Linked DNA regions of Sus scrofa. The protein of the gene in region 2 interacts with the protein of the main gene of each other region in a biochemical or structural test. Links are inferred from orthologs where the notes say so. Each region holds a gene or a part of one and is shown on either strand. Other genes may lie near its edges.

Region 1 (7,626 bases), on a different chromosome or scaffold from region 2:
AGGCTTGATGATTCCCCAGAGATCCACTGCTGACCTGCACGGCCCGGAGCTCACCCAGGGCAGAGAGAACCCAGGATGGCACAGTGGCCAGAACAAATCCTATCCCCAAACCGGGGTGCTCAGGGGAGGCTGGCACTTGCCCCGCCCACCCCCATGGCACCTTTGTCAGATTCCTCCTTTGGGCTCTGGGGTGAAGGACTGGCAGGTGGGCATGTGCCCAGACATGCCATCGTGGAGGGGGCACGAGGCTTGCCCAGTGGGCAAACAGGCCGGGTGTGGTCCCGGCTCCCCTGCCGACTCGTCCTGTGTTTGGGACAAGTCACAGTGCCTTTCTCTGGGAGGAGACCGGGGGAAGTGGGGGACAAGGGTTGAGGGCTGCCCAGGGAGGACGCTGCCCAAGCCGCCTGCCTGCTCTTTTCAGACATCAACGAGTGCCGGCGCTACCCGGGGCGCCTGTGTGGCCACAAGTGCGAGAACACACCGGGCTCTTACTACTGCAGCTGCACCATAGGCTTCCGGCTCTCCTCTGACGGCCGCTCCTGTGAAGGTGGGGGACAGGGGGTGCCCCGAGACCTCATCCTTCCCCAAGCTGCAGCCTCCTGGGGAAACTCACCACTCTGCCCGTCTGCAGACCCGTTTGGGACTGCGTCACACCTGTGCCCCAGCACATATGAAAGGACGTGTTAGCAGAGAAAATGCCTCTAAAAATGTACCTGTCAGAGACGACAGCTCACCTCGATTTTCCCTGGGCCTTGGCCCAGCTGATAACATCTGCTGCACACATGGGGGTGGGCGACTTGGCTGCAGAAGCTGCGTGGATGTGGCGGGGAGGCTGGGGCTTGGGGGCATCCAACCCGCCACCGACATGCCCTTGGGGCCTGGCTGCCCTCACCTGCCTCAGCATCCTCACAGGGCACATGGGTGGTTGTGACAAAGAGAAACAAAAGCGGTACACTTGTTTAAAGTGGTAAGACGGATTGGCTTTAGACTACTACAGCAGAGGAGAAAGACCTCAGCTCCACCGAAACAAAAAGCGCAGGCTTGTCACCTGCCCGAGTGCGTTAAGGATCAGTGCTGAAGGCTGTTAGGGGAGTGTTTGGTGCAGTCAGGCCAGCCGTCTGCTCACTGGCTCCGACCCTCCTGCCGCGTCTGGGGGTGGGGCCTCCCCTTCTTGATGATCGCATTTCAAAGGCTGGGTTCCCAGGTCCTTAGAAAGATGCTCCGGGGTTGCTAACGATACACCTCGAAGGGACAGAGAAAGGATATGTACTCGCAGGTTTGCTAAAGTACATGCTTCTGAGAAAAAAGGGAGTCAGGGCCTGTAGTCTGATGCGGGCCGGAACCCTCAGTAACTTCTCTGGCAGCGTTGAGCTTCCCCAGGCAGGGTCATGGTCTTGGGTGATGCTGAAGTTTGGTTGGGTCTCTGTGTTGGGGGGTGGGTTGGACCGAATTATTGGTGCCGAGAGTCTTGGGGTTCTCAGATAACACTGCCCCCTGTGGTGATGGACTGAGATAGGTGAACCGCGCAGGGCCTGGCACATGGTGGGTGCTCAGCAGACGTCACATCTTCTGCGGGCAGTAGGTGATGAGGTCAGTAGAAACGGAGCGCTTTGGACCACCCTTGGCAACTCCTCACGTGGCCCATCAAGCCCCCTTCTTGGCAGTGCAGTGCCCCGGGGGTGACCTGTGAGCCAGACTCAAGACACAGCAGCTCTTAAAATCCTGCATTAAGAGGGATGAGCACAAAAATCGGATGTGCCCGGATGCCCCCCAGACTGTAGCTCTCGGCCTGGAGGATGGACAGTGCGAGGGACTCCTGGGCGCTAGGCTTCCCCAGAGATGCTGGGATTTGTCCCCAGGAACCAGACCCAACATGCGTGGAAGGGCAGGAAACAAGATTCAGGCCTGGGGGTCCCTTGGGCCTGGCTTCAAATCCCACCTCTGTCATTCTTAGGGCCTTGAAGAAGTAGCTTAGTGTCTCTGGGCCTCAGTGTCCTCATCTGTGAAATGGGGATCGTAGGGCCCACCCCGTGGGGGTCGTGAGTATGAACCCAGGGGACGCCTGTGACGTATTGTCTGTCACAGTGCCCAGGACGAGTCAGAGTGCTCCCGTACGGAGGCTGCTGGCATTATTGTTATTATATTGGTGACCTGTGCTGTCCCTGGTTGCCCCTAAACCACTGATTAACACAGATATTGTCTAGTTCATACTGTGGACATAAAACCAGGGCCTGGCCAGCCTTGCCAGATTATTCCACTGCCTCCTGCCCAGGTTCCTGCCTTCAGGGAGTGTCTCTGGGATGTGAGAAGCCACATGGGGCGGAGGTGAGCATGTGAATAGGGGATCAGGTGGCAGCCAAGTGTGTGGGGGGACTCAGGGCTGAGACAGGGGGTGCGAGGCTAGTGGAGAGTCTTGGCTGCTCAGAATTAGGAGAAAACAGATGTGAGAAGACACTCCTGGGCCAGAGATGGACAGGCTTTTTTCCTGAAAGCCACACAGGACATCTTTCAGGCTTTGCTGGCCACCTCTGGGTTGCGACAGCTCCACCGTGCTGTTGTGAGGCCCAAGCCACCACAGACCCTGGTGAACGAATGGCCGTGGCCGGGTGCCAATAAAACTTTATTTGCAAACTCAAGTGGGGGGCCGGAAGTTGGCCAATCCCTGCTGAGTGAGCAGAGGAGCCAGATCCCAGAGGAGCCAGAGCCCAGAGACCGTGTGGCTTGAAGCAGGTGGGGGTGGGGAGATGCCCAATCCCCCAGCCGTGAGGTCTCTCTCCCTTGGGGTCTGTCTCTCTTGCGGTGACCCTGGGCAGATGTCTGATCCCTGAACTTGGAAGGCTTTGCCTCTGCCTATGTGTTAACGCGAGGGAGGTCACAGGCCGGCCAGGGATGGGTGACGCAGCTCCGAGCGGGGAACCTTCTCTCTTTCAGACGTGAATGAGTGTCACAGCAGCCCCTGCAGCCAGGAGTGCGCCAATGTCTACGGCTCCTACCAGTGTTACTGCCGGCGAGGCTACCAGCTCAGCGACGTGGACGGGACCACGTGCGAAGGTGAGGGCTTCCGGCTGGGCGGAGGCCGGAGCACCTCCGCCTCTGTCCCTGTCCCCGCCCCCCCCTTCTGCCTGGCGGGTGGTTTGGTTTTACTCCCCCGAGATTTCGTAGGATGCCCTCTACCCATCATGGAGTAAGGCTTGCAAAGGAGCAAACCCTCTCCTTGGATTTTTCTGTAGTGAAATAAAACGTCCCGGCGGTGTTTGCCGTGTGTGGGGAGACCTTGAGTGGGGCTTGGCGCGGGCAGGTGATGCCGGAGTGAGGAGGGGCCTCAGGGCCCACCCACGTTGCTGATTCCCAGCTCTGCCTTGGGCCCGTTTTCCTTTTTTGGGCCGCACCTGCAGCATATGGAAGTTCCCAGGCTAGAGGTTGAATCGGAGCTGCAGCCTGCTGGTCTACACCACAGCCACAGCCACACCAGATCCAAGCTGCATGGGCCACCTACACCGAAGCTTGCAGCAGTGCTGGATCCTTAACTACTGAACGAGGCCAGGGATTGAACCTGCATCCTCATGGATACTAGTCAGGTTCTTAACTCACTGAGCTGCAGCTGGAACTCCTTGCCTTGGGCCTTTTAAAAGCCCCTCTCTGGGCCTGGGCCGTCTCTGCTATGACATGCGGGTTAAGCCCACAGTTGCAGCTTCTTGGAGGAGGAAACCAAATCATGGCTTAAGAGCGCTTCCTAGGGTGCCTGAAGGGGAACTTTTTTTTTGTTTTTTATTTTTTTTTTGTCTTTTTAGGGCTGCACCTGTGGCATATGGAGGTTTCCAGGCTAGGGATCGAATTGGAGCTACAGCTCCCAGCCTACACCACAGCTCACGGCAACACGGGAGTCTTAACCTACTGAGCGAGGCCAGGGATTGAACCCGCATCCTCATGGTTCCTAGTCCGATCTATTAACCACTGAGCCACTACGGGAACTCCTAGGCAACTGTTGTTAAGATGATTCCTACGTCTGCATAAGGTGCGTGTGTTAATGACACATTTAACAAGTGGCACTAGGGCTTGGCTGGCAAAACATTTCCCCATGTAGTCACCCTGAAGCCTTGGCTCCTCCCCCACAAACACGCTTCACGCCATGAACTTGCTGTGTGGCTCCAGGCTAGGTGCATCCCCTCTCTGGGTCTCAGTTTTCCCTTCTCACGTGATGGCCTCTGAGGCCGCCCCAGCCCCAGCGCTTCAAGGCCCCCTGGGTCCAGCTTGGCCTGGGCAGCTGCCCCCCAGGCCGCAGCTCAGTCAGCCCACGGGGGTGGAGCCCGGCCAGGGTCCACACGGACACTAAGGGTGGGCTTTGCTGTCACAGACATCGACGAGTGCGCCCTGCCCACCGGGGGCCACATCTGCTCCTACCGCTGCATCAACATCCCGGGAAGCTTCCAGTGCAGCTGCCCCTCGACCGGGTACAGGCTGGCCCCCAACGGCCGCAACTGCCAAGGTGAGCACGTGGAGCCCCTGGTCTCTCTCAGGCCGTCCTGGGGCTCTGCATTCGGGTAGGGAGCCTGGCTGTGTCCTGATCTCCTGCCCCCGGGCACACTTGTCCTCCGGGAGGGCTGAGCCCTCCTGCCCCAACCTGGGAAGCCCCAGGGGGGCCCAAAGGGGGGCTGGCAGCCTTTTGGAAGATGCCACTGTGAAGGAAACGGGCCGTCAATGCCAGGAAGACCCACAGCCTAGCACTGCCCTTTAGGCTCTCCTTCAGTCATTCAACAAACCCTTGCTTTGGGCCAGGTATTAAGGGCAAAGCAGTGAGCAGATGGTACGGGCCTCTGTCTCAAGGTCTTGGTCCGCACTTGGCAAGGGGATGGGCCAGTCAGGATGTGTGACAAGCCTGAGGTCTCTGTATTTAGGGACCTAATGGCTGTAGGGTCTGGCTGGGGCTTGAGAGTCGCCTCCAGCATTGCCAAAAGCGGGCAAGTGGCATCCGGCTGGTACTCGGCTCCCGTTTCTGAGGACACCCCGCACCTGAGGTGGTCCACTTGGTTCCGGAGGGGCTGCTGAGTACATGTTTGTGAATGAGCAGCCCTGGCATGGACACGCGGGCCTCCCTGCCGGGAGCGGCCACAGAGGCTGAATCAGAGGTCAGGTCTGTCCAGCCGCTTCCTGATGACCCCCTCTGCGGCTGGGGGCCCCGGGCTCTGCAGGTGTCATTCCTGGTCAGAAGGTTTGAGGACTTCGATCAAAGGCGGGGAGGGAGCTGCGGGCCTTCCTGGGAGGGACCTGCTCAGCCCGTCCAGGACTCTGGGTGGAAGTTGCTTTGTTTTCGCGTTTCTGAAAGAGCAGCTGACTTCCTGATCCTGGCCAGGCGCCCTCACCGCAGCCTGGGGTCCTGCCAGACGCGGCAAAAACACATTCCTGAGCCTCAGCCTTTGAGGTTGGGCAGGGCTGTTTTTGCCACCGACAATCAGGATTTGGCATCTCTTAACAGATGCCTCTGGCGCGGTGACATCCCCTGAACCCACCCTTTGGCTGCTCTGGACAGTTGTGGGAAGGGGGACGGCTCCCCATGGCCAAGGTCACCTTGTGACAGTCCCCCAGGCCCAGATAGTGACCAGCCCTGGACACTGGGTGTGACATAGGACCCGTTAAATCTCAGTCTCTTCGTCTGTAAAGCGGGGCTGGTAGCTTCTGCTCGTTCCTCCCGGGACGTTACAAGGGCACCTCTGAGCCTCAGAGAGGCGCTGGCTGCCTGGGTTCCGAGTTCACCTCTGCCACTTACAAAATATGTGACCTTGGGCCAGTCGCTTAACCTCTGTGTGCTCGTCCCTAAAACGAGGATAAGCACAGCCCTTGCCTCATCGACTTGTTGTGAGAATCAAGTGCGTTATTCCTGCAAAACCAGGGCCATCAGAGAGCGTTTGATGTCACCGTCATCACGCTCGCCCCGGGAACTGTGACTAACAGCCATTTAGATTTAAATCTAAGTCACTTATAAATGAAAGAGCAGCCAGCAGACGGCAAGGATGGGCTGACCTCCCCCGACCCTGGTTGGCGGGAGGTCCGGGCACCCCCAGCCGTGGACAGGGGTGGCCGGGGGGGCCTTGGCCTTCACGGTGCTGCTTCGGGGTCTCCCGCAGACATCGACGAGTGTGTGACCGGCATCCACAACTGCTCCATCAACGAGACCTGCTTCAACATCCAGGGCAGCTTCCGCTGCCTGGCCTTCGAGTGTCCTGAGAACTACCGCCGCTCCGCAGACACGTAAGTCCCTGGGCCCCGCGATCGTCTGTCTGGGTCGGCCTTGCCGGGGCCCGGCTCCCCGCCCGGGCCAGGAGTTAATGAGCTGTGCCCTCCCACGTGGCTCCTGGGAAACTCCAGGAGCCCTGGTTCTCAGGCCCCCACCTGCCAGTGAGACGGGTCCCAGGAAGCCAAGGTCGTGACCTCTCGCTCTGCCGGGGGAAACCTCGGGCCAGGGTCTGGGCCTCAGTTTCCGCATCTGTGAGCCGCAGGTGTCAGCGCGTGCTCTGGGTCGGGTGAAGGTGGCCATGACTGTGGGCGAGCTGCTGTGACTTGCTGGGGTGCCGTTGTAGATGAAACGGGGGGGGGGAAGCCAGATTCCATTCAGCCCAGTGACTGCGCGGACAGCTCGGGAGGTGCTGTGTCCTCAGCTTGTCACTGTGCGTCCACATGTCATTGTGAGCCTGCCCCTCTCAGGCCCCCGGGGTGTCTGCTGGGGTGTCCAGGAACCCCGTTCCTCAAGTGAGGACCCTCTGTCTTGCCACACACGACCCCACCTCTTATCGTATTAGTGCCCCTGGCAGGTGTTTCAGGAAAAGCCCTGCGGTGGGAGCCAATGTCAGGAGCACAGACATGTGTCCCAGGAAGTGCTCAAAGCCACCGCCAGGCTGCCTGGGTGACTCGCCTCCTGAGCCTGCTCCTGCTCCTCCCACCAGAGGGTCAGTGCCAGGCCCCGGCGTCCACTTGCTCACGTCCACAGTTCTGGCTGTCCTGGTGGATTGCCAGAGCGGGAGCCGCTCAGGGGCTTGCTGTCCTTCCCGACATTGGGGTGCTCATCTGCCCCCCCCCCGGTCCCCTCTGGTTCCCCAGCTGCCTTCTAGCTGGTTAGGGGAAGCTGCCCCAGAACTGGGCGTGCAAGGGCACAGCATTCCCAGGAGCCCGTGGGCCCAGCAGCAGCTTGGTGGGCAGGGCTGGTGCCCCCAGAGCCGTGAAGAGAGATCTGTGTCCTCCGTTTGAGGCTGTGTGGCTGTCTGTCCAGATTCCCACACTCCCAGGCCCTTGCCTGTGTCTGGGCTTGAGGTTTCCTGAAGATGGGCTGTTTGCTCTTGGCCTCTAACTCACACACAGCCACGAAAGCCACAGGGGAGGGGGTCCTCCCTCCTCCTAAGCCGGGGTGGGGGCTGGCAGGCTGGCGCTGAGGTTGAAGCCGAAATCGGCCGGATGCAAGTTGTGGAATCCTTGGCTGCACCCGCCCCACCTCGCCAGCCCCCGCTGGTGCCAGGGAAAGTCCTTTACTCATCTGGGGAGATGGTTCATCTCGAGCCCACTACGTGCGGGCATCCGGACAGACAGTGGGCCCGCAAAGACCCCCAACTCCTGCTCTGCACCCAGGAGGAGCGTAGG
Region 2 (7,626 bases):
GGGTACCAGGATGGGGCACACGATCCTCACTCAGGGCTATATAAGTCTGAGGGTTGGGGTCAGGGAGGATTTCTGTCTTTCTGTAGGGGTAGAGGCTTTCCCATTCCAGAAGCCCAGGGCCTATGTTGTGGGGATCTGTGAGGGCAGTGCTGCTGAGGTTCAGGCTGAGGTTGGACCTGGGTCTGAGGGCCACACAGCCACAAAGTCAGATAGTCTTCATTCTGGACCCTTTCAAGTAGGGTGTTGCTGTGAAATACTTGTCTTCATTTCTGCTCGATACAGTCAACGCCCAGGGTGTTGTCAGGGCAACGGCAGGTCCTGCTTCCTGGGGTGGCCAAGCAGAGGTGGGTGCAGCCACCATTGTTCACTGAGCAGTAGTTGTGACCTGGAAAAGGCAGAAGTGAGCTCGACAGCTCAATCAGCTAAGAGAGTGGCCCCCAGGGAACGGGAGGGCATACTGGGCACCCAGCTCAGCTTATCTACTGGCTGCTTCCTCATCATTAGAGTTTGTCGGATGCGCAAAAACCTGGATCCCTGATTCCTGACCTGGGGGCTATGCTGATGTACCATCAAAGCTCCAAAAGGTTTTTCCAGCTCTGCTGAGAACATGGAACTGGAGTTTTAAGGCACCAAGTACTCTCTCTAGCTTGGCCACTTGCCTGGGGGACCAGAGAGAAGAAAAGAAGGTTGGAAAGAGAGCTTGGGAGATAGCAGAGCATTGACTCTGGAGCCAGGCTGCCTCATTCACCCCAGTTCTCCTACCGTGACCTGGGCAGGTGGCTTCCATTTCCTTATTTATAAAGAGGGCACAATAATAGTGCCTAGCAGTGAATACAGAGCACTTAGTACACTCAGTGACTTGATGTACTTGATGTACCCAGCTCACAGCAAGCATCACACCTGTGCCTGCAGTTATTATTGTTACAAATTACTGTTGTTGCTGCCAGGCTAAATGGATGGACTTGTAAAGCAGCAGAGATCCTAACCCTGTTTCTCCTTGGAGCCTATTCTGAGACCCAACCCAAGAGTCAATACTTTTCTCAGCCTTGACCGTTATTCACCTTTTTCCCTAATGTTTTCTATTGATTCATCTACTAAATAATGAAAACTTTTTTTTTTTTTGGTCATGCCCACAGCATGTGGAAGTTCCCAGGCCAGGGATTGAACCCACACCACAGCAGCAACACCACGGGGTCCTTTACCTGCTGTGCCACCGGGGTGCTCCATGAAGACTTTTTTCTTTCTTTTTTGTCTTTTTGTCTTTTTTAGGGCCACACCCATGGCATATGGAGGTTCCCAGGCTAGGGGTGCAATTGGAGCTGTAGCCGCCAGACTACATCAGAGCCACAGCAATGCAGGATCCAAGCCGCGTCTGCGACCTATACCATAGCTCATGGCAATGCTCAATCCTTAACCCACTGAGAGAGACCAGGGATTGAACCTGTGTCCTCAGAGATGCCGGTCGGGTTCATTAACCGCTGAGCCAGGACGGGAACTCCGCCATGACTACTCTTGATGGAAGAGACTGCGTCTCACTCACCATGGGATCAGGGCTTCCAGAAGCCACACAAGTCCCAGCACACCCCTGGTCCCTCACCAGCCAGTGCACAGGTGTGTTACAGGTAAGTTACCTTCAGGACACTGAGACAGGGCAGTCGTGATGCCATACAGCCGGGCCTGCTTGTGGGGGTGGAAGGTATCCGTCTCTTTGGAAACAGCAAGATCTATGGCAACCACGGAATTCCTACAGGGCACCAAAGGAGAGAAGGTCAAAACACATCTAATGGTGTGAACTTTTCTCTCCAGGGCAGCCTCTTTTGGAGTTGGGGGGATAAACTGGAGGCCGTAAGTAGAGACACTGGCCTCGCTCCTGGCCCTCCCTCCCTCTTCCTGGGACGAGGCAAGCCTGGCTTCTTATACAGAGGCCCATGGCTCTAAATTCCAGCTTTCTATACAGATGTGCCTGCCACAGCTGCTTGCTTGGTTTCACCCCAACTTCCTGTAGGAAGAGCTGTCCTTAAGGGGCTCTAGGAATTTTGCAATTTTAGAATTATAACTAAGAAGGGGCATGGAGCCCCCTGGCTAAGGGGGGTTCTCGGGGAAGAACAGGCACACTGAGGAGGTCCAGGTTTGCAGGCTTGATGCTGCCCGTCTAAGAGCGTCCAGATGATACATGGTACCAGGGGCCCTGCTGGCCCCCTCCTCGCCCTTCTCTCTGACCCCCAGAGGGCAGGGCAGAGGCATCTCTGGAGGCAGGAATTCAAGTCAAAGGGCCCCTTGGGGAAGAACTTGGCCTCCAGGGAGGGCGACAGGGCAGGGCCCCGGCCCCCACGCCGCAGCAGCTGACATACATCTTCCAGTCGGTGTAATACAGATTCTTCCCATAGCTGGTGACAGCGAAAGGGTACTGGAGGCCTTCGAGAACCTTGCGTCTGCTGGGCTGACCCGGCTTCAGGCACTCGGCCCGACTGGTGCCTGTGTGGGGCGAAAACAAGCCGTCCATTGTTCCGACAAGAAATGGCCTCTTTGTGTCAAACAACCAGAGTAACGAGGGCAAGGGTGAGAGGGCCTTACAAGCTCAGATCCTCCCGAACACAGGACCTGCCCTTCTGAACTGGAGAGCTGGCAGTTCGTCCTTCGTGGGTCCTCTCACTGGTTGACCCCACCCTCACCCGGCACCCACACCTGGTTCTGATGGGGAGATGGAGCCGGAGCAGAGGAACTGCACCCGTTGTACCCGTGCCCCGGGCAGCTGGCGTCTTGGTAGGAAAAGATGCCATCTTCCAGCTTCTGCTCCAGCCTCTCCTCCCTGGAGCCTCTTCAGATGTCCCCTCCCTGCATCCCCAGTCCTTGAAACTGCTAAACTGCCCCACTGGTTGGCAGCTGTGCCTGCGCCATGACCAACAGAAGGCTCGGGGTTTTATCCAACTGGGCATGCTTTCCCTGCTGCATCCCCCAGGGCACCTGATGGTGCCTGGAACAAAGCAGAGACCTAGCAGAGACTTGGTGTGTGACGGATGTTCCTCCCCAGCCCATGTCCCTCACCTGAGCGACACCCCAAGTCGGCCCAGGCAGGGGTGCACTACTTTCTCTTCCTTGGCCCCAAGTCCTGCCTAAGCTGCTGGGGACGAACAGGGGTGGAGGTCCAAGAACGTAAGTGGTGAACTGCTGAATAGGTACCAGGATAAAGACAGGCACTGGGCTGGGGGAGGGGCCAATATTTTCTTAAAGGGCCAGATAGTAACTATTTTAGGTTTTGTGGGCCAAGAGGCAAAATTGAGGACACTATACAAGCATTTCTATAACCTTTTAAAATGCCACATTTAAAAATGTAAAAGCCCTTTATAGTTCCTGGGGTTGTAACAAAACAGGTGGCAGGTTGGATTGAGCCCATGGGCCAGCAAACTGGAAGATTGAGAGCTTTCCCTGGACTGCATCAAGCCTAGAGAAACAATTGATTTCAGAGCACAGATATGCAGCTATTTTTGTGCAGAGGGAAAAAAAAAAAACAGTTATCTTATACTCTCCTTCCCATAAGAGATATTCTTGATGGTACAGGGGGTGACAACAGTTGTTTGGTAAAAAAGAAACTGTAGTGACACAGTTTCAAGCCCAGGAGCCAGGCCCCGGGCTTTCCATCACCTGCGTCAACCCAGCAGAGCTGTGAGGAGTAGGCATCAAAGGTCAGCCCGTTGGGCAAGCCCAGGTCATCCTGCACAAGGACCCTCCGGTTTGTGCCATCCATGTAGGAAGTTTCAATTTTGGGGCTGTCTCTGTTCCAATCTGTCCAATAAAGGTTCCTGGAGGAGAAAAAGGAGGAGAAAGAGGAAGAGAAACCGTGAAGATGCATGAGAAAAAGTTCACTTACCGAACACTTAGGAAGAACCTACAATGAAGACATCAGCAGACACTGAAACACAGAATGGGAGTTCCCACTGCGGCACAATGGAATCAGCAGCATCTCTGCAGCAGCATCTCTGCAGCACCGGGACACAAGTTTGATCCCTGGCCCGGCACAGTGGGCTAAAGGATCCTGTGTTGCTGCAGGTGGGCTCAGATTTGATCCTTGGCTGGGGAACTCCAATATGCCATGGGGCAGCCCAAAAAGAAAAAATAAAAGAAACACTGAATGTCTACAAAGGATCTGGAGGGGCCGAGACACAGTTTGCTTTGTAAAGACACATGGATTTGGTTCTTCTTCACTTGAAAGCTTTCACTTTCCTTAAACAAAAGTGACATATGATATCTCAATAAAGCTGTTAAAAAAAAACAAACAGGGAATTCTTTTGTGGCACAGCAGGTCAAGGATCCAGCATTGTCACTGCGGTGACTTGGGTCACTGCTGTGGCACAGGTTTGATCTCTGGCCTCGGGCCTTCCACATACCATAGGCACAGTCAAAAAAATAAAAAGAAAAGAAAAAAACAGAGCCCCATAACTGACCTAAACACACAGGAATTCCCACATGCTGGCACCACACAGGAAGGCACAGTTGACCCAGCGGAGGAAGCACAGAAGCAGTGCTGCAGAGGTGGTGGTCAAGGCACCTGCTAGGAGGGAGATGGCCCAGTGGCCACAGAACAAAGGATGTGCTTTCAACGGGAAGGAATCGAAGCCCTGGGTCTGCATAAGCTGTGGAGCGTGCAGTAAGGGAAAGGGGGAGAAAATGCTGACGTGCTGACAAAGCCCCAGGAAGAGCCTCCAAGGCGTTCCTGCTGAGTTTGCCCTCAGGAAGAAGCCCCAGGGCTATTTTTATGCCACCTGTTTACCCTTCTGGGGCTGACCCAACCCAGGTGGTGATCCACACTCAACCTCAATGGAAAGATCCGATTGCTGGACTGTCAACTTGCAAAGTCTCTTGGTAAAAGATTTGAAAGTAGGAGTTCCCATTGTGGCTCAGGAGTTAAGGAACCTGATTAGTATCCATGAGGTCGTGGGTTCGATCCCTGGCCTCACTCAGTGGGTTAAGGATCTGGCATGGCTGTGAGTCGTGTAGGTCGCAGATGCGGCTCAGACCCTGCGTTGCTGTGGCTGTGGTGTGGGCCAGCAGCTATAGCTCTGATTCGACCCCCAGGCCTGGGAACCTCCATATGCTGCAGGTGTCGCCCTAAAAAGACCAAAAAAAAAAAAAAAGATTTGAAAGTGGAACCCATGAAGCAAGTCCATGACCACAGGGGATAGCCACGGGTGTTCTGGTGTTTCACCATGGATGTCTGCACACCGCCAGCTAGGCTCCTTCATCCTAAACTCACTCGTTTCAGGGGAGCAGTGCTGCAGTTACAGCTAACATGGGTGACTATCCCAAAGGGCAGAAGATGCAGATAGAAGAGACGCACACACTGACTGACACAGTTACCCTCGCACGGAATCCGTTACGATGCCTCTGGGATTCACCAAATCAGTATCAAACAGCACCCGGCGCTGGGTGCCATCCAGCTTGGCAACTTCTATTCGATCCAGGTGAGAATCCGTCCAGAAGATGTTGCGGCCAAGATGGTCAAGAGCAATACCTTCTGGGCTTCCAAGATCTAGAAGCAAATGTGGAACACCACTGATATTATTTTATTTTTTTTAGCAAGTAAGATTAGGTTTTTCTGATTACTCAGTGCTAGTTCACCTGGCATCCAATCCTTGCACTTTGAGATGTGGGAGTGTTGTTTCTAAGTAACACCCAGTGACACATTTTAAAATGCCACCTGTTGACACCATCAAACTCCTAGAAGAAAACATAGGCAAAACACTCTCTGACATCAACATCATGAATATTTTCTCAGGTCAGTCTCCAAAGCAATAGAAATAGAGCAAAAATAAACCATGGACCTCATCAAACTGAAAAGCTTTTGCACAGCAAAGGAAACCAAAAAGAAACAAGAAGACAACTTACAGAATGGGAGAAAATAGTTTCAAATGATGCAACTGACAAGGGCTTAATCTCTAGAATATACAAGCAACTTATACAACTCAACAGCAAAAAAGCCAATCAATCAATGGAAAAATGGGCAAAAGACCTGAATAGACATTTCTCCAAGGAAGATATACAGATGGCCAACAAACACATGAAAAAATGCTCAACATCGCTGATTATAAGAGAATGCAAATCAAAACTACCATGAGATACCACCTCACACCAGTCAGAATGGCCATCATTAATAAATCCACAAATAACAAGTGCTGGAGGGGCTGTGGAGAAAAGGGAACCCTCCTACACTGCTGGTGGGAATGTCAACTGGTACAGCCACTATGGAGAACAGTTTGGAGATACCTTAGAAATCTATACATAGAACTTCCATATGACCCCGCAATCCCACTCTTGGGCATCTATCCGGACAAAGCTCTACTTAAAGAGACACATGCACCCGCATGTTCATTGCAGCACTATTCACAATAGCCAGGACATGGAAACAATCCAAATGTCCATCGACAGATGATTGGATTCGGAAGATGTGGTATATATACACAATGGAATACTACTCAGCCATAAAAAAGGATGACATCATGCCATTTGCAGCAACATGGATGGAACTAGAGAATCTCATACTGAGTGAAATGAGCCAGAAAGACAAAGACAAATGCCATATGATATCACTTATAACTGGAATCTAATATCCAGCACAAATGAACATCTCCTCAGAAAAGAAAATCATGGACTTGGAGAAGAGACTTGTGGTTGCCTGATGGGAGGGGGAGGGAGTGGGAGGGATCGGGAGCTTGGGCTTATCAGACACAACCTAGAATAGATTTATAAGGAGATCCTGCTGAATAGCATTGAGAACTATGTCTAGATACTCATGTTGCAACAGAAGAAAGGTGGGGAAAAAACTGTAACTGCAATGTATACATCTAAGGATGACCTGACCCCTTGCTGTACAGTGGGAAAATAATAAAAAAAAAAAAAAAAAAGAATTGACGAATAAAGTGACTTATTTATTTAAAAAAAAATAATAATAATAATAAAATGCCACCTGTTCACTTGATGGACATCCACCCTGTGTGCCACCTTGGAAACCAGGCCCATAAGGATGCTGAGGCTGTGGCCTCACCTTCAAAGAGCCCACAGTCAATCGCAACTCAGATTGAGTTCTGGGTTCCATGCGAACATGGAGCAGGCACACTGAACTCAGCCTGGGGAGACTCCGGAAGGATTCCTGTGAGAGGTCACACCTCCTAAAGCTGGCTCCCGAAGGAACACCAGGGCTTTGTCAGGCAAGATCCTGGACAAGAGTTTTCCAGGTAACTGGAAGTTTTCCAGGTAAAAGGAAGAATGGATATGGCTTGAAGCAAACCATATCTAATTTTGTATGGCTGGAGACCATGAGGGTGGAGCGTGGCCAGAGATAAAGTTAGGATGCTGTGCTAATGAGCTTAGAGACACAAAAGGGAGGCACAGGAAGAGCTGAAGGTGGGGATGGGACAAACAGATTTACCGTGTTCATCATTGGGGGAAAGGTCATTTTAGAGAAATAATGCATGCAAGAAATCGTACCTGTTATTTCTTTTATAAAGTATTAGGAGTACAAAGAAGAGGCGTCAGTGATTGCAAATAACACCCCAGAAGTCTTGGCTTTAAGTGATTTTTCAAGCCAGGGGTTGCACCGGTCTAAGCTGACTGCAACATGAACCTTCCAAT

The links.
Region 1: the proteins of NID1 (region 2) and FBLN1 form a complex in vitro, tested with the Homo sapiens proteins (3 studies listed by BioGRID). The link is inferred for Sus scrofa from reciprocal best matches to the Homo sapiens genes NID1 and FBLN1.

What each region holds. Positions count from the first base shown.
Region 1 is NC_010447.5:3,879,683-3,887,308, reverse strand, and holds part of FBLN1 (fibulin-1), read left to right. Parts: intron 1-421; coding exon 422-547; intron 548-2,931; coding exon 2,932-3,051; intron 3,052-4,354; coding exon 4,355-4,486; intron 4,487-6,122; coding exon 6,123-6,246; intron 6,247-7,626. UniProt on the Homo sapiens protein: Incorporated into fibronectin-containing matrix fibers. May play a role in cell adhesion and migration along protein fibers within the extracellular matrix (ECM).
Region 2 is NC_010456.5:55,337,749-55,345,374, reverse strand, and holds part of NID1 (nidogen-1), read right to left. Parts: intron 5,528-7,626; coding exon 5,356-5,527; intron 3,801-5,355; coding exon 3,643-3,800; intron 2,476-3,642; coding exon 2,352-2,475; intron 1,745-2,351; coding exon 1,632-1,744; intron 386-1,631; coding exon 264-385; 3' UTR 1-263. UniProt on the Homo sapiens protein: Sulfated glycoprotein widely distributed in basement membranes and tightly associated with laminin. Also binds to collagen IV and perlecan. It probably has a role in cell-extracellular matrix interactions.